2 linked regions of the Caenorhabditis elegans genome follow. The protein of the gene in region 1 interacts with the protein of each later gene in a pairwise test. Each region holds a gene or a part of one and is shown in the gene's direction. Other genes may lie near its edges. The genes, in order: sbp-1 and xbx-6.

Region 1 (16,959 bases):
AGGTGGGAGAGAATGTAGACGGGATAGCAGATTGATAAAGATATAAGTGTACATCAGGATTATTAGTACTTAAAAAATTACACAAACCTCTCTAGATGCACCATGCTAAAAAATATCGGAAAATTTGAAAAAATGGCGAAAATTCTAAAAATGGCAAAAATTGGCAAAAAAAAACTGAGGAAAGTTGCAGAAAGTTGGTGAGATTTGCCGAAAGCTGTCAAAAATTGGAGAAAATCGCCAAAAAAAAGTCAATGAAAATTGTTGAATATTGAAAAAATTATTAAAATTTGATAAAAGTTGCCTGCAATCTCCAAAACTTGCAAAAAAATGCCAAAAAGTGGCAGAAAATTACAGGCAATTTGAAAGGTCTGCGAAAAATGATACAACTTGCAAAAAAATTGCAGAAATTTGCCAGAAAGTTACAGAAAATTGCCGAAAGTTCAAAAAAGTTGGCAAAAGCTCGCAATAGCTTGTAAAAGTTGCCGAAAATTTTGCCAAAAACTAGCAAAAAGTTGCCAAAATTTGCCCAAAATTTTAGAAATTTGCCGAAAATTAAAGAAAATGAGAATTTCTGGATTTCCAGTAAAAAATCGATTTTTCAAAAAGACATCCGTCAAATCAAAAAAAAAACCGAAATGTGGATTTTCTATGCTATAAATTTGAAAAAAATGTGCACATTTTTCTTTTCGGCGAGAAACACTAGTGATCGATGGTTAAATTGAAGCCAATTAGAATTTGGGAGGAAGACACACTTCACACATTTTCAAATCTAGGGAATTGAGGTCGAGAAGGAGCAGGAGCTCAAAATATTCAAAATTTTGGAGGAAATCGACATAGACATCTGCTCTCAATTATAAAGCTTTACTATTGGCTTTACTAGCAAAATGCGTATATATTTTTCAGAAGAAGAGTAACATTTCATAATTGATTTTTTTTTAATTTTTGAGATTATTCATAAAATATTCCTAAAAAAAATATTTTAAAATTTTCGGGAAATTTTGAACATTTCTAGAAGTCTGAACTCTGGAAAGTTCACGATTTCAAAATTGTTTAAACAAGTTTTCAGGATTTGATCTACAAATTCGGAATCGTCCAAGTAGGCATGAAATACCTGCCTATCTGCCCACTCAATTGTTGCAATATTTAGTAACTTCTGGTGATCCATCAACCTTAAATGTACTTAAATCAAGTTGAAAACTAAAGCTAATTAGCTTATATACCAAAATTAGACAGTGATTTAAAATAGTTAGTTTCCAGCCGCAAGGCGGTCAAATTTCAAATTTTAACTGATTCTTTGAGCAGTGTTGTTCATAAAATTTCAATATGAAATTCGGTGTTAAAGAAATTTTCAACTACACCAGCCGTAAACGCACAATAATCAAAATCCTAATTCATATCTCAATTAATATGTAGCAGCAAGAAATTACAAACATATGGCGATTGATTGAATCGTAAAAGAAACTAATAAAAATAGTCAACCTAATGGTCCTTGTTATTCTCCAACCGTCCGTTAATGTTTCCATTTCCCCTTATCGTCTGAATCGAAGGGGTGGTCATAAAAAATCTGTCCCTATCGCTCTTTTACAACAATACACCCTCTCTTTTTTTGTTCTTTTAGTTTTTGATTAGGATAGAATGGAAAAGTGCATTTTGAAATTTTGAGAAAAAATTTGAATTTTGCATTTCAAAAATTATTTTTATAAAAGTTAGAGCTCGGAGAGTTGCTCCAAAATTGAATTGAATTTCACCTCAAACTATACCAAAAACATCCGAATTTTGAATTTTTCCGAATAAATTGTAGAAATTTCCGGAATTTGAAAAAATACCACGATATTTTTTTTCAATGAAAAGTTATTGAAAATCAAAAGTTTATTTTAAAAAAATACAAAAAACATTCAGGAAACCTAATAAGAAAAATATGTTTAAAAAAAATTTGAAAATTCAACATTTTTTTCTTTAAAAAAAGGTTTATCAGAAATTTTTTTTGTAGACAATGAGAATGATAAAAATTCCTTTAAAACCCATTTTATCCAAAAAAAAACTGCTAGCGAAAACTAACAACGCTTTTTGCTCTTTTTTAATTTCCAAGGCTTTTTTATCACTTGTTATTTAAAGAACACAAAATTCTGAGAATGCGTACTGCACAACATATTTGACGCGCAAAATATAACTATATCTCGTAACGAAAACTACAGTAATCCTTTGAATGACTACTATAGCGCTTGTGTCGATTTACGGGCTCGCGTCCTGAAATGAACCAAAATCAATAAATCAATATAGATATAGCCCTACAGTAGTCATTTAAATAATTACTGTAGTTTTCGCTACGAGATATTTTGCGCGTCAAATATGTTGCGCAATACGCATTATCAGAATATTGTGTTTCCGTGATATCAGCAAAAAAAGTGTTATCAATTCACATTTGAGTTTCAAAAAATTAGAATATTTCACAAAAAAGAATATCCGGAAAACTATTGGTTTATCAAAAAAAATATTATGATTTTAATGAGAAAAATCAAAAAAGTATATTATGTTAAAAAAAACACGTATACTTCGTCACACGATACTAATCTGAAAGCTAAGAATCATAGGAAAGGAGCGGCGGTAAAACTTCAAAAAGAACAGAATCCAATCCAGGACGGCCACTAATCACCTCTTATCACCCCTCTTTATCACCACTTAAGAAATCGATGAACATTTTGGAAAGATAGAAGAAGGAATGATTCAAACACAAACGATTGCTTTACATTTACATATTATTGCATATCGGAATCGGTTATACGACGACGACGACGACGACGACGGAAAGACGACGGGGGAAGTGAAAAAAGAGAGAGAAAGTATTGGAATCGAGAGTGACAGACAAAACACATAACTGTTTGATAAACGAGCACTCGGGATATGTGGAGAATGGGATCGTTGAGTAGGATGGAGACTTCGGAGGGGAAGTTTTAGGGTTTTAGATGTTTCTAGATACAATTTCAAGCTTTGAAAAAATTTATTTGAACAGTTTTGAATTTACAGACAATTTGAAAGTTTGAGTTTGAGCAGTTTTATTCAAAGGCGGAGTATTGCCTGTAGATTTAATGTTTTTTTTTGCAATTTTGCCAAAAAAAATATGAAAAGCGCTAAATATTGTGATGTTCGCTATTTTTTCGTTTTCCAGAAAAATTAGGTAATGGGTTTTCCTCCATTTTTTAATATTGTTCACATATTTTTTCCCATAAAAAAATCTTGGTAACTGGAAATATCTGATATAGACCTAAAAATCTATAGTTTAACATAAGAAATATTTTCTGCTGAAAAATGTCTGAAAATTGAGAACTTATGCTTTAAATGATTTTTCAAAAAATGAGGAAAAAGCAAAACTGTCAAAACGACGTAACTTACTTGCGCGGTAATTCAAAATTAATTCAGCAATTTTCATTTTTTTCCCGCAAAATTAAAAATAGCCATAAAAAATTGATTTTAATGTTTTTTTTTTCAAAAATTTGAGCATTTTTTGTCTAACATACAAGTGTATTTAAGCGGACTGCGCACTGACAAAAGTGGAAATTTTTGAAAAATTCGACATGGTGCATCGACGGAATAATCTCAGTTTCATTATATTAATTGCCTTTTTTCAGAAGATTTAATTGGAACCTCGTTGACGTTTTAAAATTAAAATCCCAAAAATTTCAACTTTCAATTTCACCAAAAAGTACATAAAATTCCGTTAATTTTTTAAACCATGTCTTCTTATCTTTCCACTTTTCGGCGTGTGATCAAAAAAGGTCGTAAATTTTAAGAGGACTTTTAAGGGGGGATAGAAGTTGTGATAAGATTGAGATAAAATGATAGGTGAATGGGAATGGGAATGTTAAAATAGTCACTTCAAAGGGCGAAACATTTTCGAGCGATTTTTGATGTTTCTGGGTAGAATACCTTTTGAGGTTCACGCAAAAATTTTTTTGCATGGATCTCAAATCCTGTTTAGAGCTCCTAAAATGTTTTAGATTTTCAAAATTTTTGTAGGGAAATTTCCGATTTTTTTTTGAAAAATTTGGAGCAAAATTTTTCAAAATTTCTCATAAACTTAAGAAGTTGCTCCTAGACGATTTTCTTGCGATTTTTTATGCGTTTCACAATTTTTTGTGAACTAGAAAAATGTAATCCAAAATGGTTGATTTCCTAAATGTATGTATTTGTTTTTTTCACAACTATTTATGTTTATGTTTTGCAAAAAAACCTGCGAATTGTGTTAATGTTTATGCTAACCAAAGTGTGATGCAACAGTTGCCCCTCCACTTGACCGCGCGACAGGTCAAATCAAGAGACACATTTAGATAACCAAAAGGTGGTATTAACAAGAGAGAGAGCTATGCAAGTATCAGGTTACACAATATAAAATGGTACGAGGGATGAGCACTAAATAAAACTGCAAACCGACATTCACAGTGACGACCCCAATTCTAGTAAAAATGAGATTTGTTAAAAAATGACAGAAAATAGACTGTAATGAATTGTTAAAAAATGTTTAAAACTTTTTCAAACTTTTCCTGATTTTTCAATTTCGCTAAAATAAAAAAAACATAGAAATTTATTTTTTATTCGTAAATGAATTAATTGAAAATTTTAGAAATTCAAACACAAAAATTCAAACAAAAATAATACAAACACAAGCGCAAATTTCAAGAAAACTGAACTAAAACTATAAAATCGCGCATTTGTGTAGACAGTGTGAGGAAATTAGCACATAGGTAAAAAGACAAACATGTTGAGAATACACAAAACTGTTCGTGTGCTCAAAGAGCAAAGCATCTTACGTGAGAACTACTGGGAAAGAGATCAAGTAGCTTTGGATGGTACTGTTAGAAAAAAAATACACCCGTTCTTTTATTCCAAAGTATTTCAACTCAATTTTAGATTTCAGGATTAAGCCTCTTTGGTTATCAAAAAAAATTGCGGCGAGGAGCACTTCGTACTGGATAAATTTCGATCTGAATTTCTAATGTTATTTTTAAAATTTTTTAAAAATTTGGGTGTTTGGTTTTGAAGAAAACACTTAAAATTTTTAGGCTCAAATTGTTCACATATTTGAGATTTGAGATTAAATAAAACCGACTATTTGTATGCAAAATTAAAAGATTTTCCAAACTTTGAAAATTAATATCTGGCTTCAAATTAAGTTTTTCAGAAAATCCCCAAAGCCGTTTTGTAGCAAATTTTAAGTTCTTTCAGAATTAAAAAAACAAAGTTCCAAAATATCTCATAACCGCCGAGATGAAGCTGAAAAGTGCATTTTCAGTCATGCCTTAGACCACAATTTGAAATAAATCGGCAAACCGGCAAATTGCCGATTTGGCGAATTTGCCAAAAATTTTTGGCAAATTGTGATCTTGCACATTTTTTTCTGGCAATTTCAAAATTTTAATTTTAATCGGCAAAATTGTACGCATCCTATGACTAATCCTACATCTATTTTGAAAAGTAAGCAAATTCTATGAAAATATCTGAAAGAAATGGGGAAAAATTTCAAAAAGGCATAGTTTTAAGTTTTTCCGTCTTATAAAAAATCCCTCTAAAAATTTCCGGCAATTTGATATCCGGTAAACGGCAAATCGGCAAACCGGCAATTCGCCGACTTGCCGACTTTGCCGCCCTTCCCTGATTTGTACCTTGAAAGCAACAACTGCCTGTCCCATTACGGTTTGATCTACAAAAAATGCGCCATTTTTTGCCCAAAAATATGTGACGTCAGCACTTTATAAACCATGCAAAATCAATTGAAAACTCTGTGTCTCTTCCCCCGCATTTTTTGTAGATCAACGTAGATCAAAACGAAATGAGACACTCTGACACCACGTGCAACTGTAATTCAGATTAATTCTCTTTCAGCGTTCCTTAGACATGTCATAAATATCCTCGGAATTCGTTACCACGTGGAAAGCTCTTATCAATCCCATCATTCTTCCTTTGGCTCTACTCCAGCCTATCTGTCATAATGGAACATCTACCCACGTGATTCCATTTGCACATTCTTCTCTATAATTGTTTTTTTCCTGCAAAAAAAATTCCGATTTAATAAAACTTGTGTTTCCATCAAATATCGTCATTCCTATCACCCTAACTACTACATACTACAATGTCAACGAGAGAGCGTGTGATTTGTGGAGACGCAGACGGTGAAACAGTGTGTCTACAAGAAGATAGGAGAGTTATTTCTCTCTCTTTTTCTTTCTTCTTTTTACTTCAACTTTTCTTCTTTTTTTTGAATCGTTTACCGGTTCTTCTGCACTTTTCAAATCTTTATGGTTATTGATTTTTTAAACAATTAAATGACGTTTCTTCATTTTAAAAAGTCATGTTTTATGCATTATAATCTGTAAATATTTACGTCTATTTTTTGCTGACCGCGTGACTCATTGATCTTGTAGTCTGTGTGAGATGAAGAGACGCAGACAGAGAAAGACAGCTGATCAGTTAGAGTGGATGATTGGAGGATCTTTTGATAAAACGTAATTAGTTATTTTATTTTTGTATGACTCTTTTCAATTTTCCATAGTATTTTTTAATCATAAAGAGATTACACATTTTTTTAGCTGTTTTAGAATTTTCGGACAAAAAAAATTTTTGGCAAACTGTTTTCGTTTTCGAATACATTTGACCTTCTGAAAAATTTTGAGCATTTTTTGCTTGTTAGAACTCCTACATTTGTAGGCAAAAAAGGTTCTTTTCGAAAATTTTTTAAATAGTATAAATAGCCTAACTGCATAATTATTTATACCATTTTTTAGTTTTGGCACACTTCCAGGAGTTTTTGAAAAAATTCAAAATTCAATTAATTAAACATGATACGGTTAAAAAGCTAGAAGAAAAATCGATAAAGTCCTTTAAAAAATTTTATTGGAATTTTTTCATATTAACATATTAATTAATTTGAAATGTTTTATTCAAAATTCTAGGACGACTTTAAAAATATTAATTTTCAAATTTTTGAAATTGTTTTAAAATGAAATGCTGATAAATTTTGTCAAAACCAGAATATTCCTGCTTTTAATTAAAATTTTCTTTTTTTTTAAAATTAAATGTTCATGTAATTGCCATTTTTTGATTGGAAATTTAGAAATTTTTAAAAAATGTTTTCTTACTGGTATTTTCCTTACACTATTTAAATTGAAAATTTCATAATTATTTTTTATTTACAATTTTTAGGATTTTATTCTCTCAACGTTCAAATGTTTCATGCAAAATTTTTTTTCTGGAAATATTATTTTTTAAAATCAGTTTCTGCAATATTCAATATATGACCTTTGCGATTTTTTTTGAAGAATATAATTTTCTATGGAAAATATGGAAACTGTTTAGAATAATTTTCGAATTTTTTAACTTTTTTTCAAATTTTGCCTATTTTACCAATTTTTCTGGAATTAAAATTATTAAAAATCTGAAAACCTTCTTTTTTTAAATTTCCCAAACTCCACAGATCACCTCATTAACTACTTCTTATTTTATGCGGAGCAGAGCAGCGTATCAAGCTTACATGTACTGATAATTTTAATAAGGTTGCGAAATTTCTTTACATTTTTCTGTACAGAAAAATACTTCCGGCGTGGCTGACAAAAAATCGGGGCCGAAGATTTTTTTGTCGGCCCATAGATAAAGTATATTTTGATGTGAGGAACCGTGAGATGCCTGCCGCATTGGGTATAAAAGTAAATGCCATGGAGTGACTTGCAGCCGACATCTCACGGGTCTTCAAAACAAAATGATAAACCATGAAAAGTCGGCTGCAAGACAGGGGGCAATGAAACTGTAATGCTGTTGTTCAAATTTTCTGCAAGAGCATCATTCTTTGCTCTAAAAATTCCTGTTCCTATCAAAAAGTTTTGTTGATAAAAGATAATGATTTCATGTTGACCAGTTTCTTAATCATTCTTTGATTGTTGTTTGTGCACAGCATGAGAGTTACACGCGAATTTCCTCTAATTGTAGTGCATGTGTAGATTAAGACCTTGAAAATAGGCAAAAGTAGGCAATGGAAAATGTGTCGATTTAAGGAAAACCTGTAGAATGTCGGTTGCAAAAGTAACTCCCTCCTGCAGCCGACATCACACGAGCCCTCAGAACAAAACAGTAGTATGCCGGCGAGGTGTCGGATGCAAGTCCTCACTTATTGTTTACTTACAACCGACGTCTCACGGCTCTACAATAAAAGAGAATATGCCCACGAGTTGTCGGCTGCAATATGCCCACGACATCTCACGGGCTCTCAGGTTGTCGGCCTGGCCGAAATAGTATATTTTGCATGTCAATTCAACTCCATTACTTCCGCAAATGTTTTTATTATATACTTTTTGAATGTCGATATACTGTCATTAAAGTTTTTTTTTTCAAAATCGATGTCAAAAGTGTGATCGGAAATGACTTGTGATTGGGGGGGGGGGGGGGAAATTTGTCATTTTTTCAGTTTAAAGTTTCACATTTTGGTTCCAAAACTACCGATTTGCATATACCTAAGTCACATAAAAGTTTTGAAATAAATTCTCCATAGAGCGCGTTTGCATCTCCTATTCTCCCATTCCCAAATTAATGATCATAAAACTCCTGCAAATTCGGTTTTTTCTGAACTTCTACCAGAGAGGGGGGTGTTTCTGGGGGTTTCTTATCACCCGAAGTCTCCCCTTATCAATTTCCCCAATGTCTCCTTCTTTGCTTTTGAGTTCTGATTTTGTAACTAACTATCTCATTTTTCTCGTTTTTTTGTTGAGTTTTTGCTCCTCAAAATTTGACTTTTTTTTTTCAGAATGAACGAAGAATTCGAGGGAGACGTCCCTATGTCGGATCCGTTTCTCTCATTGGTCACAAAATTGGATGATATTGCGCGTGAGTTTTTTCCCTATATGCCTACCTCATGCCTACCTGTTCGCCTACATGCCTACGTACCTGCCTACCTTGTCCCTATCTGCGTACGCTTACCTGCCTACCTCATACCTCCTGGTTTGCGCCTACACACCAGGCTTACACCAAAAACAAGCATTCAATCAAAACACAAAAAATAATTTTCAAAAACCCAAAACACCTACCTCATGCCTACCAGCCTAGCCCATGCCTACGTGCCTACCTCATGCCTACCTGCCTAGCCCTTGCCTACCTGCCAACCTCATGCCTACCTGCTCAACACAACTTACCTACGCCCATAAACTTGCTCATTGAAGGAATATAATTTCTATAGTATATTAGTTTAGCAGTAGGCAGGCAGGCTTGCATTTTCGGTGCCTATAGTTCTAATTTTCAGCATTTCCAAATAACGACCCGCTCGATTTTGACATGGAGCACAACTGGCAAGAGCCCGGACCATCACAACAACCGGATCCATCAATTCCCGGAAATCAACACAGTCCGCCACAGGAATATTATGATATTGATGGGTGAGTTTGGCTAGTGTACTGTGAGGTACTATTTCGCATAGGCCTGAAAAATTATGCCTGCCTACAAGGCCACCTGTGCCTGCCTACGTGCCAACTACTGACGTAAAGCTTAGGCTACTAAAACAATAGGTATATTAAAAAATATAAGTAATGTAGGTAGGCAAGCCTACCTTCCGTGGCATCTTTTCATTTGTCAGGAGAGATGGCAGGCGTAGGCAAGGTAGTAGGCGTGCAGTTTGAAAATTTTCCAACTTTCAGTCAACGAGACGTAAGCACCTTACACTCCCTGCTCAACCACAACAACGACGACTTCTTCTCAATGCGATTTTCCCCGCCAAACTTTGATCTCGGCGGAGGCCGTGGACCTTCTCTAGCCGCCACCCAACAATTATCTGGAGAAGGTCCTGCAAGTATGCTTAACCCCTTACAAACATCTCCACCAAGTGGAGGTTACCCCCCGGCAGATGCCTACAGACCTCTATCACTTGCTCAACAACTCGCCGCGCCAGCGATGACTCCACATCAGGCAGCGTCGCTTTTTGTTAATACTAATGGAATTGATCAAAAGGTTTGTCGTTTTTTTTTTGGTGTAGAAAAGTGCATATTTTACGGGGTAAATGTTGCAGTAGAGGGGGGTCTTATCAAGCAAGAACTGTCAAAAAATATCTAAAAACTACTCATAAAATGTCGAGGCTAGGCGTTTTTCGGCGATAATTCTGTGAATTCTGTAATGGTTGGAGTTTTATATGGCATATAAATTTTGCCGGGAAATTCAAGTTTTGTGAGAAGAATTTTTGGTAGGAAATTCAATTTTTCGGAGAAAAGTTTCGGCGGGAATTTTAAATTTTGGAAGAAATTTTTTGGCGGGAATTTTAAATTTTGGAAGAAATTTTTTGGCGGGTAATTCAAATTTGGTGAGAAAAATTTCTGGCGGGAAATTCAAATTTTGGAGGAAATTTTTTGGCGGGAATTTAAAATTTTCTGACAAAAATTTTGGCGGGAATTTAAAATTTCCTGACAAAAAATTTTGACGGGAAATTCAAATTTTTTGAGAGATTTTTCGGCTGGAAATTCAAATTTTGGAGGAAATTTCTTGGCGGGAATTAAAAATTTTTTGAGAAAATGTTTGGTGGGAAATTCAAATTTCCTGAGAAAAGTTTTTGGCGGGAAATTCAAATTTTAAACTTGCGAAAAATAGAAAACTTCTGGCACGCCTCTGGAGTTGCTAAGATTTTCCAGAATCAGAATTTATCCCCTCACAAAAATGGGTGGAGGTCTAGGATACAAAGTTAAAACTCCACCCATTTCTTGGACGTTCTGAATTCGATGATTTTTCCAGAATTTCACTCATGCAATGCTATCTCCACCACACCATACCTCAATGACTCCTCAACCATATACAGAAGCAATGGAACATATCAACGGGTACATGTCTCCATACGACCAAGGTTTTCTTTTCCCCTTTACTGATAACCTTATATTGATCCTTAATAATTTCCAGCTCAAGGCCCATCAGGACCATCATATTACTCACAACACCATCAATCTCCACCACCTCATCACCACCATCACCACCCGATGCCAAAAATCCATGAGAACCCTGAACAAGTGGCATCTCCATCGATTGAAGATGCTCCAGAGACGAAACCAACTCATTTGGTTGAACCACAAAGTCCAAAAAGCCCGCAGAATATGAAAGAGGAGCTTCTTCGGTTACTAGTTAACATGTCTCCGAGTGAAGTTGAACGGTTAAAGAATAAAAAATCAGGAGCATGTTCAGCGACGAATGGGCCATCGAGGAGTAAGGAGAAGGCGGCGAAGATTGTGATTCAGGAGACAGCGGAAGGGGATGAAGATGAGGATGATGAGGATAGTGATTCCGGGGAGACTATGTCTCAGGGAACTACTATTATTGTTCGAAGTAGGTTATATTATCAATTTTACCAAAAGGACACAATTTATTTTTTTTTGGTTTTTCTTACATGGAGATATACCTAAAGTAGTGAAAAAATACACTAAAAAAACTTTACGATTGAATTTTTTTAAAGTAGTGTGCTTATTTTAAAGCTCCATTGAAAATCGAAAAAAACATTGTTTTAAAAATACAATTTTCTAACTATGTTTCCACTAGAACTTCCGACTACTCAATAAATAATTGCTCGATGTCATCACTTTTCGGTAGTTTTTGACAAGAATATAATACCTTGCATTATATTTAATCTTAATAATTTCGAAATTTCTCCTAACCTACATCAACTATTCCAGGACCAAAAACCGAGCGTCGTACGGCACACAATCTCATCGAAAAGAAGTATAGATGCTCAATAAATGATCGAATTCAACAGCTGAAAGTACTTTTGTGTGGGGATGAAGCTAAGCTTTCAAAATCGGCAACACTACGACGGGCTATTGAACATATCGAGGAGGTTGAACACGAGAATCAGGTGTTGAAGCATCATGTTGAACAAATGAGAAAGACACTGCAGAATAATCGATTACCGGTGGGTTAAACTCTGAAAAATCTAGAAAAAAATAGAAAAAAAAACGTAAAAATAGGTCAGAATTGACCCAAAAAATGTGAAAAATATAAATTTTAAATCGGATAAATCTGGGCTAAATTTGGGCCTAAAAATCTAAAAATTTGCTGAAATTGGCTTGGCCCGAAAATTGTGAATTTCCATTTCCCACCAAATTTGAATTACCCGACAAAAAATTTCAATATGTGAAACTCAAAAAAAAAGTCCGAAAAAAATTCAAAATTTTTGAAATTCTGGGTAAAATGAGCCAAAAACAGGGGGAAAAGGTCCAAATAAACCAAAATTATAAAATATAAAACTGAATTAGTCGAAATCATGAAATTTGGCTTAAATTAGCCCAGAAACATGTGGCAAAAATGAGCCAAAAATGGTTAATATGTGAAAAAAATGCAGTCTAAACTGCCAAATTTGGTTGAAAATAGCATACAATTATTTAAAAAGAAAACAACCGAAAATGCCGAAAATCTTCAACCTCGCCATATTACAGTACCCGGAACCAATTCAATACACTGAATACTCTGCCCGATCACCCGTCGAATCATCTCCTTCTCCACCTAGAAATGAGAGAAAACGATCACGAATGAGCACAACGACTCCTATGAAGAATGGAACTAGAGATGGATCTTCGAAAGTTACCCTTTTTGCGATGCTCCTAGCAGTTCTGATTTTTAATCCGATTGGGTAAGCTTCTATTCATCTGAAAAATAGCGTTAAATCCTTGTTTAGATTGCTCGCTGGAAGTGCGATATTCTCAAAAGCCGCTGCAGAAGCTCCGATTGCCTCCCCGTTCGAGCATGGAAGAGTGATTGATGACCCGGATGGAACTAGCACTCGGACGCTTTTCTGGGAAGGGAGTATCATCAATATGAGCTATGTCTGGGTGTTCAACATCTTAATGATCATATATGTGGTTGTCAAACTGCTGATCCATGGTGACCCTGTTCAAGACTTCATGTCCGTTTCATGGCAGACTTTTGTGACGACTCGAGAGAAGGCGAGAGCCGAGTTGAACTCTGGAAATTTGAAAGATGCTCAGAGAAAGTTCTGCGAGTGTCTTGCAACGTTGGATCGATCGCTTCCATCACCGGGGGTTGATTCGGTGTTTTCGGTTGGCTGGGAATGCGTTCGACATCTTTTGAATTGGTTGTGGATCGGGAGATACATCGCAAGAAGGCGCAGGTCCACCACGAAGCCTGTCTCAGTCGTTTGTAGGAGTCATGCGCAGACTGCAGTTCTCTATCATGAAATTCATCAGGTTTACTGTCAAATTCCATAAATTTTGCATTCAAAAATATATTTACTAGAGTAATCCTACAGTACTGCTACAGTACCCCTACAGTACTACTACAGTACCCTGACCATATCCCCACTAACTCCAAACTAATATCCCTTCAAAAGACAAAAAGTCAATTTTTCCAAAACTACAGTAATCCTTCAGTACTCCTACGGTACCATTACAGTACTACTACAGTACCCTGACCATATCCCCCCACTAACTCCGAACTAATATCCCTTCAAGAGACAGAAACATGTATTTTTTATGTATAAGTAATGATTTTTCCAGCTCCATCTAATGGGTATCACTGGAAACTTCGAAGACACCTATGAACCATCCGCCCTAACGGGCCTCTTCATGTCCCTCTGTGCAGTAAACCTTGCTGAAGCTGCCGGAGCATCAAACGACGGACTTCCACGCGCCGTCATGGCTCAGATCTACATTTCTGCATCCATCCAATGCCGTTTGGCTCTTCCGAACCTACTCGCACCATTCTTCTCGGGATACTTTTTACGAAGAGCTCGAAGGCACGTGCGTCGAGCTCCGGAGCACTCGGTGTCCCATTTGTTATGGATCTTCCATCCAGCGACAAGAAAGTTCATGTCAGATGCGAAAAGGTTGGAGCATGTGTTGAGCTCGAAGCAGAAGCAGTTGAGATTTGGGTCTTTTGTGGAAGATGAGCAATGTAAGTATTTTAAAATAAAATAAAATAAAATAAAAAATAAATAAACTTTCATTTTCCAGTATCCCCACTTGCTCGAATCCGAACAACGCTGAAAGTGTACCTACTCTCCAAACTTGTACAGGAACTTGTCGGTGGTGACGAGATCTTTACAAAAAATGTGGAACGCATCCTAAATGACAATGACCGTCTCGATGATGAAGTAGACGTGGTTGATGTTTCAAGACTTTTGGTGACAATTTCAACGCAGTGCGCTGCCATTTTGACTAATGAGAAGGATGAGTCAGCGAGTTAGTGAACACGAATTTTAAGATTGAAAATGTTATAAATTTCTAGAATTCGGAACCTGGATCTCTCGAAACGGAGATGCTTGTTGCACATGGTGGACGCACGTTCTGACATGTGGAATCTATTGGAGGAGTAACAAGAATGAGCTGGCACGGCAACACTATTCACTGATCAGGAACTGTCCGCCGAAGATTTTGACAGAGTGGGTTTTTAGACTTATTTTGGCCTATCTATTTTGGAAAATCCGTATTGAATTCATTTGAATCGTTTTAGAAGTACTCATTCTCAAATTGGCAAACCGGCAAATTGCCGGAATTGAAAATTTCTTGCAAGTCGGCAAACCGGCAATTAGCCGGAATTAAAAAATTCTTTCAAATCGGCAAAACTTCAAATGGCCGGTATTTGTAATTTCGTGCAAATCGGCAAATTGCCGGAATTGAAATTTCCGGCAAACCGGCGGATTACCGGAATTCACAATTTCTTGCAAATCGGAAAACCGGCGAAGTGCCAGAATTTAAAATTTCTCACAAAACGGCAAACCGGTAAATTGCCGGAATTTAAAATTTCTTGCAAATCGGCAAACCGGCAAATTGCCAGATTTTAAAATTTCTCACAAAACGGCAAACCTGCAAATTGCCGGAATTTAATATTTGTTGCAAATCGGCAAATTGCCGGAATTGAAAATTTCTTCCAAATCGGCAAACCGGCAAATTGCCAGAATTTAAAATTTATCGCAAATCGGCAAACCGGCAAAGTGCCGGAATTGAAAATTTTTTGCAAATCGGCAAACCTGCAAATTACCGGAATAGAAAATTTCTTGCAAATCGGCAAACCTGCAAATTGCCGGAATTTAAAATTTCTTGCAAATCGGCAAAACGGTGAATTGCCGGAATTGAAAATTTATTGCAAATCGGCAAACCGGCAAATTGCCAGAATTTAAAATTTATCGCAAATCGGCAAACCTGCAAGTTGCCGGAATTTAAAATTTCTTGCAAATCGGCAAACCGGCAAAGTGCCGGAATTGAAATTTTTTTGCAAATCGGCAAAGCGGTAAATTGCGGGAATTTAAAATTTCTTGCAAATCGGCAAATCTGCAAACTGCCAGAATTTAAAATTTCTTGCAAATCGGCAAACCGGCAAATTGCGGGAATTTAAAATTTCTTGCAAATCGGCAAACCAGCAAACTGCCAGAATTTAAAATTTCTTGCAAATCGGCAAACCGGCAAATTGCGGGAATTTAAAATTTCTTGCAAATCGGCAAATCTGCAAACTGCCAGAATTTAAAATTTCTAGCAAATCGGCAAAGCGGTAAATTGCGGGAATTTAAAATTTCTTGCAAATCGGCAAATCTGCAAACTGCCAGAATTTAAAATTTCTAGCAAATCGGCAAAGCGGTAAATTGCGGGAATTTAAAATTTCTTGCAAATCGGCAAATCTGCAAACTGCCAGAATTTAAAATTTCTAGCAAATCGGCAAACCGGTAAATTGCGGGAATTTAAAATTTCTTGCAAATCGGCAAATCTGCAAACTGCCAGAATTTAAAATTTCTCGCAAATCGGCAAATCGGCAAATCGGCAAACCGGCAAATCGCCGGAATTGAAAATTTCTTGCAAATCGGCAAGCCGACAAATTGCCGGAATTTAAAAATTCTTTCAAATAGGCAAACTTGCAAATCGCCGAAATCTAATCATTTATTGCAAATCGGCAAACCGGCAATTTGCCGGAATTGAACGTTTCTTGCAAATCTGCAAACCGGCAATTTGCCGGAATAGAAAATTATTTGCAAACCGAACCGACAAACCGGCAAATTGCCGGAATTGAAAATTTATTGCAAATCGGCAAACCGGCAAATTGCCGGAATTGAAAATTTATTGCAAATCGGCAAACCGGCAAATTGCCAGAATTTAAAATTTATCGCAAATCGGCAAACCGGCAAAGTGCCGGAATAGAAAATTTCTTGCAAATCGGCAAACCTGCAAATTGCCGGAATTTAAAATTTCTTGCAAATCGGCAAAACGGTGAATTGCCGGAATTGAAAATTTTTTGCAAATCGGCAAACCTGCAAATTACCGGAATAGAAAATTTCTTGCAAATCGGCAAACCTGCAAATTGCCGGAATTGAAAATTTCTTGCAAGTCGGCAAACCGGCAATTAGCCGGAATTAAAAAATTCTTTCAAATCGGCAAACCTTCAAATGGCCGGTATTTGTAATTTCGTGCAAATCGGCAAATTGCCGGAATTGAAATTTCCGGCAAACCGGCGGATTACCGGAATTCACAATTTCTTGCAAATCGGAAAACCGGCGAAGTGCCAGAATTTAAAATTTCTCACAAAACGGCAAACCGGTAAATTGCCGGAATTTAAAATTTCTTGCAAATCGGCAAACCGGCAAATTGCCAGATTTTAAAATTTCTCACAAAACGGCAAACCTGCAAATTGCCGGAATTGAAAATTTCTTGCAAGTCGGCAAACCGGCAATTAGCCGGAATTGAAAATTTCTTCCAAATCGGCAAGCCGACAAATTGCCGGAATTTAAAAATCCTTGCAAATAGGCAAACCGGCAAACTGCCAGAATTTAAAATTTCTTGCAAATCGGCAAACCGGCAAATTGCGGGAATTTAAAATTTCTTCCAAATCGGCAAGCCGACAAATTGCCGGAATTTAAAAATCCTTGCAAATAGGCAAACCGGCAAACTGCCAGAATTTAAAATTTCTTGCAAATCGGCAAACCGGCAAATTGCGGGAATTTAAAATTTCTTGCAAATA
Region 2 (16,959 bases), on another chromosome or scaffold:
AAATTCTTTCGAAAGAATCATCAAAAACGCTTGTCTGCACACACCAGACGCTACGCGCATTTGCGTACACCGTACTCACCTATTTTCTGTCTTCACGCTTTCGCTTTCTTTTTAAAATTTACTCGTCGCGTCTTATTTCTTGCCGAAACGAACAAAGAAGAACAGGTTAAAAAGAAAAATTGTATTTAACAAAAATAAACCGTATCAGTTAGTATTTTAACAGTAATTCTAACAATTGGGACGATGAGAAAACAACTTTTAAATCGTTTCAAGATATTTATTCTGGCAAATCCGTGTATCCAATTCTCTTTTTCTTTCGCTCCGGAAAACATTTTTCAGTAATTTCTTTCAGCTTGTTTCCTAGATTTTTTCGATAGTCAATAACCATGTCGCAGTCGATGGTTCCGTCGGGTCTCTCGTGATGGCTTTTTATGTGCTTGATCACATCAGATTTTGCAATTGTCTGCCATTTTCTGTGACAGATTCCGCACTCGTAGAGCTCATATTTTCCGTGACGCGTATTTGCATGATACACCATGCTTGATCTTTGTTTGGAAACAACGTCTCCACAAAGAGAACATTGAATTTGTTGCTTCGGCTTGATCGGACCACCGCCATCAGATGCTCCCTCGAATGAAGGACCGGCTCCACGTTCTTCTTCGTGACGTGCCAGAGTTTCGTCTGAATTAAATCCAAATGAGTGGGAATCATTATTATGTGTAAGTTTACCTAGAAAGGCATGATAAGCATTATCTACGAAGACAACAGGAGAAGATGACTGAATAGGTGTGCCAGTTGCTTCTGAGTTTTCGACTTTGACTCTGTTCTCCACTGTGCTTGACACCGCATCGCTGATTTTCCCTTCAATCCGCATAGATCGACTCATTGCAATGCACCGTTCGAGCTTTTGGGTCAGTTCCTTCTTTTTCATACTCAACTCCGGTGTGTAGCGATATTTTATCTGCAATTTAAATTATTGTTGAATTTTTTTTCTGCGTCTCTCAACATTGGAGACTTACAGAAAATTCGGTGAGTCCATGATCATTCATACAGTGACTGACAAGGGCGAATTCCGTTGGAAACTTAGCGTACTTACATTTTTCGCATCTAAAATAGTAAAGCTACGTTCACCACATATTAAAAGTTAAAGACTTACTCATATGGGCATATGTTAAGATGATCACTAGCAATGTGTGCTTCGAGATCTTCCAGTGTGTTGTAGGCCTCAGTTTGAACGCAATCTAGACATCCCAGTAGTCGGTTCATTTTTTGAATGTAATAAATATATTCTGCAAATTTAGTAATATAGATTTAGAAGCGAACGGTTAACAAAATGTGTTCGAAATCAACTGAAGACGCGTGGAAAAAGGAAAAGAATGGTGAGAAGAAGAAGGAAGGAAAATGGAGAGAAGGGGGTGGTTTTGTGTGTGTGAGGAGGAGAAGAAGGCCGGGCGGGCAATGGCCAGTCTCTTCCTCCTTTCTCCTTCCTTTCTTCTCCTCTTTCTTCTTTTTTCTTCTTCTCATCGCTCGGTTCGCGCTACATTGAAACGGAGAGAGAAAGGGAAAGAGAGAGGACAAAAATGCGACGACTCGTCTTCTTCCTATCTCTTTCTCTCTGCTGTGTGTGTGTGTGTGTTTTTGTGGCGATAGGAAAAAAAGAAAAAGGAGCGGGATGGGCGGAAGAAAAGTGGGAAAAACTGTTGGAAAAATGAAAACGTGAGAGAACAGATATGAGTCAGATTTTTGTGAAAAATAATTAATTTTGAGATAAAAAGTTGATGGTACAAATACCATGACCATGCATGGCAGTCTCTTTTTTGTTGAAATTTTTGTTTAGAAAACTTATTTAAAACCAATTCTTAAGGAATATGCATTTTTTTTAAACACGAAATTCGCTTTAAACAGAGTACTTCCATTGGAAAATGTAAGGGAAATAAACGATAAAGCAGCCGAAGCTACCATAAACTTTTTTGCGCATCGAGACCAGTCCAAATCAATCCATGCGCCTTTAAGAAAGTATGCCAAAATCTTGTAAAATTAAGATACCATTTTTTCCTAGCAAGAATTTCTCGCTTTCTGATAATTAATTTGGTAAAAAATTCTAAAGCTTATCTGAAACCTTTCGTCTTATAATTTTACAGACTCGGTTTATATTTTATTTTGATAATTAAAAAATAATCAAGATTTTTCAGAGAAAAATGAACACACTGCGACGAATATCGACATGTCGATTCACAAGTAATACAGCGTCTTCAACTTCTTTGGAGTCTGCACCGGCTCCACTAAATCCAAAAGTTCAGAAAGCTCTGACTCCTGCCACGTTTTCAAATCCCAATCAGCTGGCTCGATACCTATCGAAAAAGGTTTTGGCTCACGCTCCAGGTCGATTTGTAGTGTTGGAAAAGCCATATGGATTGTCATGTGTTGGACAACTTCAAGAAAATGGTGGAGTATTTGGGAATAGTGTTCGAGATGAGAGAAAAACTGAAAAATGGGCTGGTACAATCAAAGCAAGGACTCAAGAACAAATGGGAGTAACAATTTCCGATTGTATCAAAGATTTGAGAAAGTTGCTCCGTGAGCCTCAGCTCAGTTTCTGTACAGGCTTAAAACGATACTTATCTGGTGCAATTGTTCTTCCATGTAATGAAAAGGATTCCAATATTCTGAAAGAATGTATCAGAAGCACTTCTTCAAATGTCGAACCCCCTTTTATGTATAATGCCTTGTAAGTTTTATCAATTTCTAAAGTTTAATTTTAGTATTTATTATTTTAAAGTTCAGAGCAATCACAATTGGAAGACCTGAAAAGAGCAGTGGAGTCATAACTGGATTTGCCACGTTTCGGAATGTCGGAAAGCACAAAGAGTACATTTTCGAAGAAAGAAAAACAACGAAACGGGCAAAAACTGGAAAATACGCTGTAGAAGGACATATGAGCTATCGAGTACTGGACACAAAAAATGGAATTTCATTGATCGACTTTTCAGTAAATAAATGTAAATTAACCAAAAATCTTCCGAAAAAAATCATCTTGGTATATTTAATTTCAAATTAAAAAGTACGACGACGCTGGGTTTTTAGATAACAAATGTTTGAATACATATTATTTTTGTATTGAATATTATATTTCTTCAGTTGCTCGTCATCTCCCACGACTGATGCTAACTCAGATGTCTTGTCCGATCCTCGGAGACACTATCTACTGGAGACGTTTGGCCGACGTGGATGGAGTTCCTGAACTTATCAGCGCGGGAAACATGGGGCATAGAATTGTAAGTCACCAAAGTTATTTTGTAAAGAAAAAAACTTGAATCTTATTCAATCTTACAATAAGAATTGAACTTTTAAATCTTAAAAAAATGTATATCTTAAATACTATCAAAATCAATCTGTATTGTACTGTTTTACTCCCCATATATTTGCAAAATAAGTTTGACAAAACTGGAAAGTTGCCATGTTTTTCTAAAATGACTATTATTCCAGTTCATCCCACCTCATCTTTGTTCGACGCTCGAAACTTCAAATCGAAGTCTACTCACTTCACTTCCAATTTATTGCCACGTGTACAACACAATTTTCGAAGACGTCGGTGGTCATGAAGCACATGGTCTCGTTGCAGCTGCGAAACCACCGGGTATAAACTTTTTTGATTTGCAAAATCTGAAGCTTCCTATATTTTTAGCTCATTTCATAGCAATGCTCGATCTACTTGGTCTTCGTCATGCTTATAAAGATTTTATGAATAGATCTGAAAAACCTTCAGAAGACTCATCGTCTTCAACATCACGAACATCGGGAGATGTCGTATTTTAGGATCTCAAATTTTATTAGTTCAGTTATTGTAAGAAATCTTGTCAGTTTTTTGTTGTTGTCTGTTGCTCTTTGTTAACTAATAAAACGCAATTTTTCTTGACGTCGCTCTGCCATAAATTTTCAATCATCTTCTCTTCTCTTTCTACTGCTGCCGTTGCACCCTGGGTTTGAAAAATTTCTCTTTCATCCCGTTGCAATGGTTTACGGATTACGGTAGATGTCTCGGTTCAGTTTGAAACGTTAAACAGTGTATTGAAATTACGATTGGCATCGGATTTGAACTTTCAGGTACTGATGGAGACATAATTTGAATAGATATTTCTAGAAATGAAAACCTTGCAGTTGAATATTTGAATTGAAATATTGGATATCAAGAAATTACAACATTTAAAAAAATCAAATCAAAATGGCAAAACATTCAGAGAAATGAGTTTGCTTGTATTACTTGGTTTTAAAGGCGCATGACTCTTTGAGATTACTCTATTGAAAATTTTTGAAACGTGAGAATTTCTAGTTCGCAAATTCGTAATAAATTTGATTAAAAAATATGTTGAATGTATCTAATTCACAGTTGCAATATTTTTTCTTACTATTATTTTCCATTGTATCTGAAAAATTAACAAGTTTCTCATTTTCATTACTACATAGTCATCGTGAAATTTCAAACACTAAATATATTTTTTCCAAGTAATTTTTGATTCCAATTCTTAATTATATTGATGAACAGATAGTTATTTTTGGGCCAGGAAAATAAAATTCAATGTAGCAATATATATTTGCATCAACGGAGCTCAACACCATTATATATCCTTATTTTCCCTGAATTGCCTTTATTGTGCTCGGTTGTAGCTACACTTGTAGACCCACGTCATCTGTCCACACCGCCTACTCGTTTGATCTTCTTTCCCGCGCATTCGATCTCTAAGTCACTCAATCTCCTATGCTATTTTAGTGAATCACGCACATGCAATAGCATTTGCTCACAATTGCAGACACTCAGTTACTGTGAGACAGGCAATATAATGGCCCTTCGGGATATCGAGTGTTGTCTAGAATGAGGTAAGTTGTGAGAAGATAGGAAGACAACGAAGTAAGATAAAGGAATTGTATTTGACTAAAAAATGAAATATCAATTTGATAAAAATATGTTTTGAAACTGTAAATTAATTTAATACATTGTTTTCTTTGACAGATCTTTGCATGTTCAATCAGTTTCTGATCTGAAACTTTCAGCTGAAAAGTATAGACGAATAAATAGTCAAATTTAAGTAAATTGATAATCTTAGATAGACCTAAAAAAGTAAAGTGAACCAATTCACGATTCGGTACGTTTCTGCCATAGAATACAACTCATTTCTTAAAATGATATAGAACAATACTTTAAAGAGTTATTCTAAAGAGTTCTAAGAGTTATTAAGAGATATTACTCTAAAGAGTTACTAAAGAGTATTCAATCTGAACCTTAAAGGAACATTAAAACTGAAGAAGATTATTTTGTTATTCGTTCTATCATTACTACAATCTTGCTCTTTTGATCTCTTGTCTCATGAGTATTTTGGTAGTTCAATCTGACAATTAACAAATTGTTATGCAGGATATTCGCAAATTTGGCAATCCTTATCATATCAATTACCGTCAAAGGTGGAACATACCATGTTTGAAACGAAATGAAGTCAATTGGAACATATAGAACGGTTACAGTATGCTCGATAAAGTATAATTTGATAAACTTTATTTTGTAAAACTATTGTATCAATCATCTACGGCATTAATCCTCAACCTTGAAAATAGATATGAAAGTAAAGTTGACAAGGCACAAAATTGGAACATAGTGATCGAAAATAAAGATATCTATTAATTGGAAATTGTTCGGCGAGGGGCTCTTCGAAACATTTACTGGGGTTTTATGAAAGTTTCTTCTAAAAAACATAATTTAAGATTGAGAGGTGCTCTCAATCAATTCAATATTTTCAAAGAAATAATCATATTCTGTGAAATCAACACTTAAATTATACATTTTTTCATATCTTTTAAAAAATGGAGTTGTATTTACAGGATTTAATGAGATTGTTGAGAGTGACGTCACTGACGAGCAGATATGTTTCAAACATGAACTAATTAGTTTCTAGTATAGTTTTGCCTAGTTTCTTATATATTAAGCAGAAACAACGGACCAGTTCTTCAGCTTCTGAGAGTAGATTATATCTTAGGAGCATACATGAGCACTGTATGTACCTTCTTTGTCTAACTTTCTTTGAGTATCTAAGTCTCTTCAGGTTCTATATCCATCATTCAACCAAATGACACTGCAGGGATGCCTATCTCCTGACTGAACCCACCAGTCGTCTCTTGCTCATATTCCTCCTACCTTCTGCTTCTATTTTCTCAGCGCATCTTGTCCACCTACAGTAGTAAATCTCCTCCCTTTCCTTACGTTGCATTATGAGATATCTCCCAATTTTTGTGTTTCTCGGATCATTTGGCTATACGGAAACTACATTAACAAAGGAACTTATCAAAGATGCAGCTGAGAAATGCTGTACAAGAAACCGTCAAGAATGTTGCATTGAAATTATGAAATTTGGGTGAACCGCTTTTACGAGCACGAACAATGCGATAATCGGTATAATTTAGAACCCCAATTCGATGTGGTTATGACAGGGATCCGAAGCTACCCGGATATGTCTACAAATGTCTTCAAAATGTGTTGTTTGCAAAAGAACCAAAGAAAAAGATTAACTTGGATGGTGAGCGTTTTTTTTTCAGGTAAAATTCTCCTCACAAGCCAAGATATCAAGTTTTGTTTATTCTTAAGAAATATAGGAAATGACTAATACGGTATGTACAAGTTAGTTTTAACTTGAGGAAAATCGAGAAACCGGTGGCATAGCGCCCGCCCGTGAGGTCATTGATTGGCCGGAGGCAGAAAGACCACACGCATTGAAAAGTCACAATATCTTTTCTGCCTCTTTCATTCGTATACTCTTTGGAAATTTTCAATAATTTTGAACATTTTTTTTTTAATATTCTTGCCTCAAATTGTTTTGAAAAAAATCAAAGTAAATCATCAGAGGCTTCTCTGATTTCAAAATAATAGTTAGAACGTAAGTAAAGAGAGAGCGTTTGAAATTTTTCATGAGTAAGATTATTATTACTACTTATCTTTAACTATTTGAAATTTAAAAATGGCATGCAATGTATGGGAGAAATATTTGAAGAAAGCGCCCAAGACTTCAAGAATATCTGAATTTGAGGAGTTATATCACAAAAACTGAGCCTGCAACCTATACTAAAAAGTATACCAAAACAAAGATAAAATTAAAGTCTTTGTTTCTGAGTATTTATTATCATTTGAAAAATTATTTAATAACACGTAAAACGTCTTCAAACTAACCCCAATTTAGAATGTTCGCGCTCTCTCTTGCTGAAATCAATTATAACTATGATAGAATGATTATTCGAATAATTCATAAGGGCTATTATTTTTTCACTTTAAATTATAAAACGAATACTTTACCAATTTTGAAACAAAGTTTCTGCCAATGTGAAATTAAACTGGAAATTGAAGTTTCACCGCTAAGTTCGAAAGCAAATGTTGGGCATTTCCATAATCCGAGTTACAGCAGAACGAGATGTTATCATATAGTAAAAAAATTGTTCAAACATTTTTCGATATTTTAGAAATTAGAAAAAATGCAGTACGATGACGTAGACAATGGTAAGAGGAGGAAGATAGTGCGTATGTGTGCGCAGAGAGGTACAAGGCTTCGGGCATTGGGCAGTCGCCACCATACGCTCGATCGATATATTCAAAGTCGGTCAGGCTTTTAACAATTTGAAGCTTACTGATATCAGTAAATTTGTGATAAATGTCAAGGATACCGTGTCTTTGAAGCAACTTAAGCTCTCTATAGTTTCCTGATTTGATTTCACTTCAACATACTACATTTCCAGTTATTGATAACACTTATCAACTAGCATTTAAACATTTTCTCATATCTATAATAATGTTTGATTTCCTGTAAATAGTTTCCTCTTCCATTTCGAATTGTAATATTTCCCTCAATAACATTGGAACCTTGTTCAACTAAATAGGGATCACTTTGACAACACCTAAAGCATCTACAAAAAATTTTTGGTAATGTAACAACCAAGTTTTCTAAAAGAATTTGACATGCTCTATTTGTTAGAAAAACTTTTTGATTATGTTTCAGGCTCAGTTTTTGAGATATTCAACTCTAAAGTTGCAACTTGTTCTAGGTGGTCCGTTCAATTGTCCTAGGGTTGTGCAGGCAATTGGTATTGCGCAGGGAGAATAGACGGACCCTTGTGTCTTGCGTACCACCTGTCATCATGTTTCGAGAGTAGATATTCTTCAAACCCTCAAACTATTTAGAAATATATTTTTTAGCCTCAAAAAGTTACGTTTTTCGTTCAGAATTCTATTAGGGCTACGTTTTAACATAAGTTTTAAAATAGGCTTCTTTATTTGTTTTTGAGATATTCATGGCCAAAAAAAAACTTTACAGTATTGAATTTGGCTCTAATATTTTTCAATACTTGTTCTCTACAATGTTAAAAAAAAATTAATTTCGCCTACTCATTTGATCATTTAATAGATTTATGAAAACATAAAAATTATGATAACAATGTCTTTGAATTCTCTGATAATGTTCATAATTTGTTTTGATCTTTCTCGTGTTATCTCTCCAAGATAAAAGAGTGTTCTACTGCGAGCACTGATACCATATCTTTGCATGTTTATCCTTTTATCAGTTGACTCACTCTTTTGTTAGGTGTATTGATTAGATGGGAGACTCCCCTGCAACAATTGTCCTACAGGAGCAGAGCAGTTGCTTTTTTTCTTTTGACATCTTGCATTTTTCGTTAGAAAGAAAATATTTAAGTGCCGCCGGGAGCAATCTGTTTTATTTACAAATATATCAGAATGCACGGCATCAGCTAATAAATATTGAATAAGTATTTTCTTGTTCTCACCCCTGTACAGTTTGCTTTTCTATTCCTCATTACACCTCCCAATCCAGGTGTGCTTGGTCCTTCATCTTATTAGATCTGCCATACGGTATAGGAATTACGATCTACAGTCGTCATAAAAGAGTCCGCAATACCGTCATGTGTGTCGAGTTGCAACAAAAGAGTATATGGGAAATGAGAGACTACGGTAAATGAGAGATACCGTAGACGAGATATAATGTAAGAGAGTGGTAGATCAAATGAGATGAAAAACGCGTCGATTAGGTCCATCCAGGAGAAACTAGATTGCGTAGAGCAAACATAGCTGTTTTGACGGGAACAATGTTTTTTGAGACTACAAATATCATAGCTTCAGCTACATCTGAGGTTTTCAAATTTTTCTCGAATAGCTGATAAAGTGAAACTTCATAATGAAGGTAGATATCAGTGCTCAAATAATGTATACCGTATTCCCCGTTATTGTATTAGACCTTATTGTTCAATTTTACCAGCTTATATTTTAGTTAGCGTTTGTTCTATTCAAATATTGCCAATTGAGAAACTATTATTTCTTTTTCAATTGCTTGCAGTTAAAATTTATTGATATCTTTAAAATGAGTTGATAGTGAGATATAAAGCTTTCAATTAAAATAATGTGGTGCAATACTATTAGAGAAAATACAGTAATCTTACTAAACTAAATGCACGCGTGATTAAATCCAAAAAGTACAGAACTTAATTGGTTTATTTAGGTGCGTTCCCCTGAGCAGAAATTGTCTTAATATAAATTAATTTGAAAATCTGAAATTCGAGAAATTTCTACTTTCTGTAAAGTTGTGAATATTCACTAATTTTATTGATAATATGAGGTTTATAGAAAAACTTACAAATGCATTTGACTCACAGAATTGCTATAATTTTACGATTTCCCAGAAGAGACTTTCCCAAAAGAAATCGTTATTTTTGAGGGACAAATTGTCTTAATTATCGATCTATTATTTGCCTCTTCACACGTAAAACATGCCAACACCTGTCTCTTTTGACTCCGCCTCTCTGATTGCCCCGCCCATTTGCCCATCCCACGCCCTAATCTCATATTGTCTTTATTCAGACTCCGTGTGCTGCTCCGTGTTTGGCAACGACCAAAACGATTCTGGAAGAAGATGTGAGAATCGTTGCAAGAACCTCATGACCAGCCCTTCCATCGACGCTGCCACACGTCTGGACAGCATCAAAAGTTGCTCGCTTCTGGATAATGTACTGTATAAAGTGAGTTTTTGTTAACACAGAATTTCAGTTCGCCTATTCTAGTTAGACAAACGGGTAAATTGAAAATATTCGGTGCAATCTGTCTTATGGTTTTTTCAGCTCCTGCCTATTTCAGTACGTAGTCCTAATTTTTCCAGTTTTAAAGAAAGGATCCCTAGTTGACCAAAGCCAAGTTTAAAAATATTAAATTATCTCCAACTCTGTAAAAACGGCTGCGATTTGCAGACTTTTTCTTGGTCCAGGCAAACAATTTTGGAGTTCGTCCCATCCATTCCCTCGTCTATAAAATTCATCCTAAAACGGAGAAAATTAAAAAAAAAATTCAATTGGCAAGCGGAAAATCCGATAGTGGATAGATATCACCCCAAAAATTGTTCGCCTAGGTTGAGATACATTTTTGGAGCAGTGCGTCAGTCCAGGAACCACGTTTTTCAAAGATATCTCATTCGATATTCTAATCGTTCAATTCGAGTTAATCAAGTGTGTCATAAAACAAATTTATTTTTCAGTGTTTTGAGAAATGCCGGAGCCTCCGTAAAGATGGTATCAAAATTGAAGTGCTCCAATTCGAAGAATACTGCAATGCAACGTTTATCCAAAAGCGAACTTTCCGAGGAGTCTGAATCTGGGCTCATTAGCCTAAAACATCCCTAATCCGCCGTTGTCATTATGGCACTCTCCATCATGAGTGGTCCAATTTTTTCTTTTCTTTCTAAACCTTTTTATTTTATTTTTTGTAACACCTCTATGTCTACCTCTTAATCAAAGCTTTGAGCTTTACTCACTTTGAGTTATATTTTTAATCTTGTGTTCTCCTTATGTTGAAGAAAATTTTCGATACGCAACTTGTCATATTGTTGTATATATTTTTAATAGAATTTTTTGAAATGTCCTATTCTTATTGATTTCTTCTTAACATTCTCTTCAAGAATGTTTTCGGATGCGCTCAGATGTCATGAAGGCGCACTACGGTGCGGTCCTGATTTTATTTATTTTTTTTTTCATAAAAAATATATCTTCTCTTGTTGGTTTCTCCTAAAGTTGTCAAATATGAATATTCAAGTACTTTCTACGATCTTTTTTATTGAATAAATTGTTTTATCAACGCACAGAACCCATACGACATAATCAACAAAAAATGATAAGAAAGTGATTTTCGAACTACAAATTTTATCAATTTTTTTTCAATTCTCTGCTTTCTAACAAATTCTAAATTTTATTTGTAATTTTAGTTATTCAAACTGCAAAACGAGCAAAACTTTATTTCTTATCCGTTTTGAAAGATTAATAAACTAAATGTAATGTTGTTTCTCATATTCTGCTTGTTATTTTAAACTGAATAATGCTTTAGAGCTAGCAAGGAAAAATCAATCAATTCATTCGAAATTGATAAAATGGCCATTAAGGTTTTTTTTTAAATTTTATGTGTTAACACATGTGTTGGGTTTCATCATAAACTTGTACTTGGTGGAATTCAAACTATATAAGTTTAGATTTTTTGTAAATCAACACAAGTTACCAAAACTGTTCAGGCGTGATCCGAGTTTGAAGTATGGATTCTGCTAACTTAAGTTTAGAATACAATATAAGAATAAAGTTAAGAAAACAATTAACTCAAGAAATGCCGATGTTCTTAAAAGCAATTTTCAATGTTCAAGCCATAGAATTTAAGTACTTTTTTATTGACTCTCTGCTAAAAACCAAAAATGCAAAAACTTAACTGCCAAAATATGATTCTGATCTAGTTGTTTTCGGAATGACTACATTAAGCTCAAAAAATGCAATGTGAGAAAACCAAATGTCATTCTGAACTATTTTCAGATGTTCCAAACGTTTAATATCTACGGCTATACAATTGAAACTTATATTCAACTGACTACAAAGATGCAACTCGCTGAATTTTGAAACTCTCCATGATCTTAACAGAATTTTCTCGTATGACTAAGTAGAACAGAATAAAACAGAAATCTCACAAGTTATAGGGCACCTTCACTTACTGAAAAGCTGAAAAAAAAAGCGAAAAGAACTGTTCATGTTTGCCTGACGAATGACTATTAACAAATAAGCTTTTTTTCTCTTCTTCTTTCGACTCTCTTGCTCACATTTATCTTTGTTTAAATTTCAGGGCATTTGTCGTAATTCCACGAAATTTCAGATTTCAGCTGAAAAAAGTATTAGTGCTCCAGCAGGTGAATAAATTTATAAGAAACATGTTTATATTATTTTATTTTCAGAACAGAGCAATGAACAGTTTCATCCTAATCAGGCCGAAGGCCCACTGTTACAGAATAATGGTAAGTTTGGAATTAAAAACGCAAACAGTTTCTTTGTGAATATTAAACTTAGCCTATTATTAGTTACGATAGAAGTCACAACATACAGTAACCAATCCTGTTTTTTCTCCTTTATCTTCCTAGATTACGTAAATATGAAATAGATTAGATTTAAAAAACTTCCAATTTGTTCGATGAAACGGTCCATAATCGTTTATAAATATTTTAAAAATCGAACCGAACGGCACACGCGTGTTGTTATTTTTATATATATAACCTAAAAAATAGAACTTTGTAATATTTTTACGTGTTCTTTTTCAAACTTTATCTGAACTGAAATGAAAGTTTATTTCAATTTCAGCGAAATGTATTGGAACGGGAATTCCAACAAATATCGTTTTTATATCAAGCTTGATAATGGTAGGGGATTTCAAAAGCTTTTTTATTTCCGAAAACGAAAAAACAAACTACTTTTAATATATTTGAACCAGTTTCAAGCCTACTGTACGGCTTTCAAGGGAGACGCACGATAGCGCGCGATTGGGTGTCGCCCCGCGAACTATTTTTTGACGCATGCGCCTTTAAGTGTACTGTAGAAATTCTGCGATGAATTTTCACGCTTTTTTCGATTTCTCTCTTCATTTCCCTTCTATTGTCTTCCGTAGGGAATCAAAATCATACAAAGTTTTTAAAAAATTAATAAAATTTTGGATTTTGTAATCTGTTTTATCGTCTGGAATTTTTTTAAGCTTAGAAAAACTTAGTAAATTATGTAAAAGTTTCGAGATTGTTAGCATTTAACTTATTGATCATCTCACTATTGTTGATGAAATTTTTTGTTCAAACTTTTGATGTTTTCACTTTCTCCTCATCTCTTCCGTTTTTCTACAGAGATTTCTTGATCTCTCAACGGTGACTCAACATTTTTCATTCTATACAACTGTTCCCTCACTTTAAAAATTTCTATATCTCTATGATATAGTTTTTCTTTCGATTCATGTTCCAGTGTTAGATGTGAAACACTGCTTTTAAGCTTCACTGCTTTTTCAAAAGAGTAGTGGTCTTCGAGCATCAACACATGCGTTTCTCTTGTTTCTCTCCTTTGGCCGAGGTCGTTGTATTTTTTGTTTGACCTGGCGAGTAAAAGAGAGACAACGTTTCATTGCTTTCTCTGTTCCTGTTTTTCATAGATTATCACGTCGTTCTTGTTCCGACAATACAAAAAAGTCACCGTTCAAACTAAAACCTACATTTTTGAATAGATGCTCTATATTGAGAACTACTTAAAACTCTTGTTTTCTGGTCGACATCGATTTTTTTTTGACGAGGCAAACCCCGACCATTGCAAACAATAGAGACGCAGATATCCAAAGCCTTGGTCAGTTTACTGCGTCTCTTCTCTCAACGAGATCTCATCACAATTGCCCGATGCTGCATTCTCGTGAAAGTGAAGAAGACGTGCCATTCTGTTGCGAAATCACACGTCTTCTTCTTCCACTGCATTTTGGTTTTTCTACTTATTTGAAGTCTAGGCATGAATGAGAAAGATAATACCCGTCTCAGTTTTCGAACGAAGAACGTTGAGCGTATTTACTTTCCTATCGACAAATATGAGTACATTCGTTCTTTCTGCTCGAACGCTAAAAATTCGTGCTCTAGCAACACCAGAAAGTACCGGAGTTTGAGTTATTTGTAACTGCATCTGAAAATCTTTCTATAATATTTTGTCTTCTTAAAAATCCGAGCACCAGTATAAAACACACAATTTTAATACTAAATCTGTAGAAGCTCATCTTTTTAAACTAAAATATGACAAATTCTTCATTCCTGAAAACAATCAAATTATTTTCATCTTCTCAACCATTCTAATCCTTCAATCTAGATATGACTTTCCCTCTAAGCCTTAAAATAATCTTATTTCTTCCTATAACTGACGCACATTTCTCTAGCTACTAGAATTTGTCTGAAAACAGACGAGAAATTCCCCTCGTGAGCTGGAGAACCATGTTTCCATGGAAACTCGAGTAATGTGATAAACAACTGGGACTTTTTAAATTGCCATTTCCATGAAATTCTATACTTTTTTGCTTCTATCTCACTTGTTGACTACATTTTATTCTTGTATTTTCGTTTCAATAATATTATTTAATTCCAGATATGTCGTACAATCAACAGCCATACAACCCGGCTTATCAGAATCCCTACCCCAATCAAGGCCCTCCGCCACCAGGATTCAATACAGGCGACGGACAAAATCAAAATCAAGGTGAGAGATTTTTTAAAAACAAAATAAAAAAGTCAGCGATATCAGAAGTTAGACATAAATTAAGAATATTTTAACTTCCAAAATAAATAAGTAAAGAAGATATCGAAACTTTTAGCAACTAGCTCTTCGATCAATAAATTTGATCATTTTTTAATTGTATTTTTGTAATGTGACGTCATTAATCGAAATACCAAAGGAAACCCGAAAAAAAATCGACAAAATTTGTTAATGCGCAAGGTGGATTTTTTTCAAAAATTTTACATTGAAACGTATTAAATTATATTTTCACAACTAACTGTTTTAAAACGATTCAAAACCTCAATATTCTTAAGGTGGAGCCTATTTCTCACCACCGCCACCAATGCACGGAGCTATGTTCAATCAGATGGAAAATGGGCAACACGGTGGTGGAGACAATCCAGATGGAAAGTATTCATTCCAATTTTCTGATAAGACTGTCCGCGCTGCTTTCGTTCGAAAAGTTTTCAGTTTGGTCTTTATCATGGTAAGTAGTACTTTCAAAAAGTTTTAAATCTATTTTCAAAAAATTTTAGCTTTGCATCGTTGCCGCAGTCACTGTTATCCCGTGGGTTCATGATGATACGATGAGAATGGTCCGCAGAAATTCGGCTCTCTACCTTGGGTCCTAGTATGTACATAAATTGAAATCTTGATTAATATTTAATATTTCCAGTGTAATCTTCTTCGTTACCTACTTGTCATTGGTTTGCTGTGAAGGAGTTCGTCGTAAATTCCCAGTTAATTTGATTGTCACTGGAATCTTCGTAAGTTCATTTTAATATAACAAGTTTCCCTTTATCAATCCAAAAATCGTTTTCAGACTCTAGCAACTTCAGTTATGACCATGGTCATTTCAGCTCATCATGATGCTAACGTGGTTCTTCTGGCATTGGCGATCTGCATTGGATGTACGTTCTCCATTGTCATTGTCGCCTCTCAGACGAAATTCGATTTGACTGCGTAAGTTTTTTTTTAAATCAAATCTTTTTTTCAAATGCTGTGCTAAACCTGCAATAAGCGGATTTATACTCTAACAAGCACCAATTTTCTGAAATTTAAGGTACCTAGGTTATTTAGTCGAATTTGAAACTAATTTTTAATATATTAAATATGTTCTGACAAGATGTACGCAGATTAATTTTTGTAAATAGCAAAATTGGCAAAAACTAAACTTAGTTCAGAAATTAGAATGATGACGAATAATTTATAACCACTGATCTTCAAAAAATATATCCGAAATACTAAATTTTCAGCCACATGGGATATATCTTAATCATCTCAATGTGCTTCATGTTCTTCGGACTTGTTGTCGTGATCTGCTCAATGTTCTTCAAGATCAAGTTCTTGATGATGGTATATGCTCTCGGTGGTGCTCTTATCATGATGCTCTACCTCTTCCTCGACGTTCAAATGCTGATGGGAGGAAAGAAATACGAAATCTCACCAGAAGAATATATTTTTGCTTCTGTTCAAATCTTCATTGACATTGTCCAGATGTTCTGGTTCCTTCTCAGTTTGTTCGGATCCAGGTAAGAAATTCATTGGGAAACTTTGAAATTTAGCTAGACATTCTCAATAAACCCTCTGGTTATTTCCAGAAACTGAATCTTCTATTTCTCTATCACATTTCGTGTGGTAAGGCGGTTGAGTTTGTGGTATTTCAAAAGGCACGTTTACTTTTTAGATTTTTTTGTGTCATTGTTCACTAACGCTGTATTAGTAACATTGTGCCAATTTAAATGAATGTGTATTATCGAAAAAATACGATCGCACAAATTTCTCATAATTTTTTTTTGATCTACGCTGTTGACTAGGCTCCTCCCCCAATCTTGTTGCCGCTGTTATTTTGTTGTGGCTGTCTTGTCGAAGGAAGGGGAGGAGCCTAGTCAACAGGGTAGATCAAAAATAAATTATGAGAAATTTGTGCGATCGTATTTTTTCGATAATATGTGAATCATTTGGTTGATAAAAGCAACAATTTTCAGTTTCTATGTTGTGAAAAGCTTTTTATCAACTTGTAAACCTAATTATTGTATTTTTCAGCGACTAAACAACGGCCTTCACCCGACTTCATCGATTCTCGATTCTTCAATTCCTTCTTCTTTTTCTGTTCTATACTAGATTCCATGCCTAATTTACACACTGGTAGTTCACTTTGTTCTTCTTTGCCTGTCCCCTGCTCTGTCCCTCACCCCGAAAAATTTCTAACAAAAAGAAACGAAAACTGCTGTTGTTTAAGATGTCTCGTTCGCTACTTTCCCGCTTAAACTCGTAATTATTTGTGAAATGAAACTTAATATATATTTTTGAATGAAATAAAACATGTATTTACAGCAAACA

The links.
Region 2: the proteins of sbp-1 (region 1) and xbx-6 interact in a two-hybrid assay, tested with the Caenorhabditis elegans proteins (2 studies listed by BioGRID).

What each region holds. Positions count from the first base shown.
Region 1 is NC_003281.10:11,434,393-11,451,351, reverse strand, and holds the start of sbp-1 (Processed sterol regulatory element binding protein sbp-1), read left to right. Parts: upstream 1-8,785; 5' UTR 8,786-8,786; coding exon 8,787-8,865; intron 8,866-9,277; coding exon 9,278-9,410; intron 9,411-9,668; coding exon 9,669-9,978; intron 9,979-10,749; coding exon 10,750-10,858; intron 10,859-10,911; coding exon 10,912-11,331; intron 11,332-11,675; coding exon 11,676-11,911; intron 11,912-12,434; coding exon 12,435-12,628; intron 12,629-12,673; coding exon 12,674-13,202; intron 13,203-13,511; coding exon 13,512-13,908; intron 13,909-13,967; coding exon 13,968-14,195; intron 14,196-14,241; coding exon 14,242-14,395; intron 14,396-16,959. UniProt on the Caenorhabditis elegans protein: Transcription factor involved in maintaining normal fat levels. Regulates the expression of genes involved in lipid metabolism in response to nutrient availability, such as the fatty-acid desaturases fat-5, fat-6 and fat-7.
Region 2 is NC_003283.11:9,690,871-9,707,829, forward strand, and holds xbx-6 (Protein lifeguard 1-like), read left to right. Parts: upstream 1-14,485; 5' UTR 14,486-14,489; coding exon 14,490-14,598; intron 14,599-14,930; coding exon 14,931-15,103; intron 15,104-15,152; coding exon 15,153-15,247; intron 15,248-15,292; coding exon 15,293-15,383; intron 15,384-15,439; coding exon 15,440-15,579; intron 15,580-15,872; coding exon 15,873-16,148; exon of another isoform or gene 16,149-16,217; coding exon 16,218-16,224; 3' UTR 16,225-16,254; exon of another isoform or gene 16,255-16,470; intron 16,471-16,662; coding exon of another isoform or gene 16,663-16,669; 3' UTR 16,670-16,957; downstream 16,958-16,959. Other genes in the region: ztf-9 (C2H2-type domain-containing protein), read right to left, coding at 278-681, 730-961, 1,020-1,107, 1,157-1,266; ZK287.7 (RNA_ligase domain-containing protein), read left to right, coding at 2,199-2,728, 2,785-2,999, 3,139-3,275, 3,487-3,637, 3,686-3,816; Protein her-1, read left to right, coding at 6,259-6,401, 6,451-6,563, 9,902-10,059, 10,569-10,682.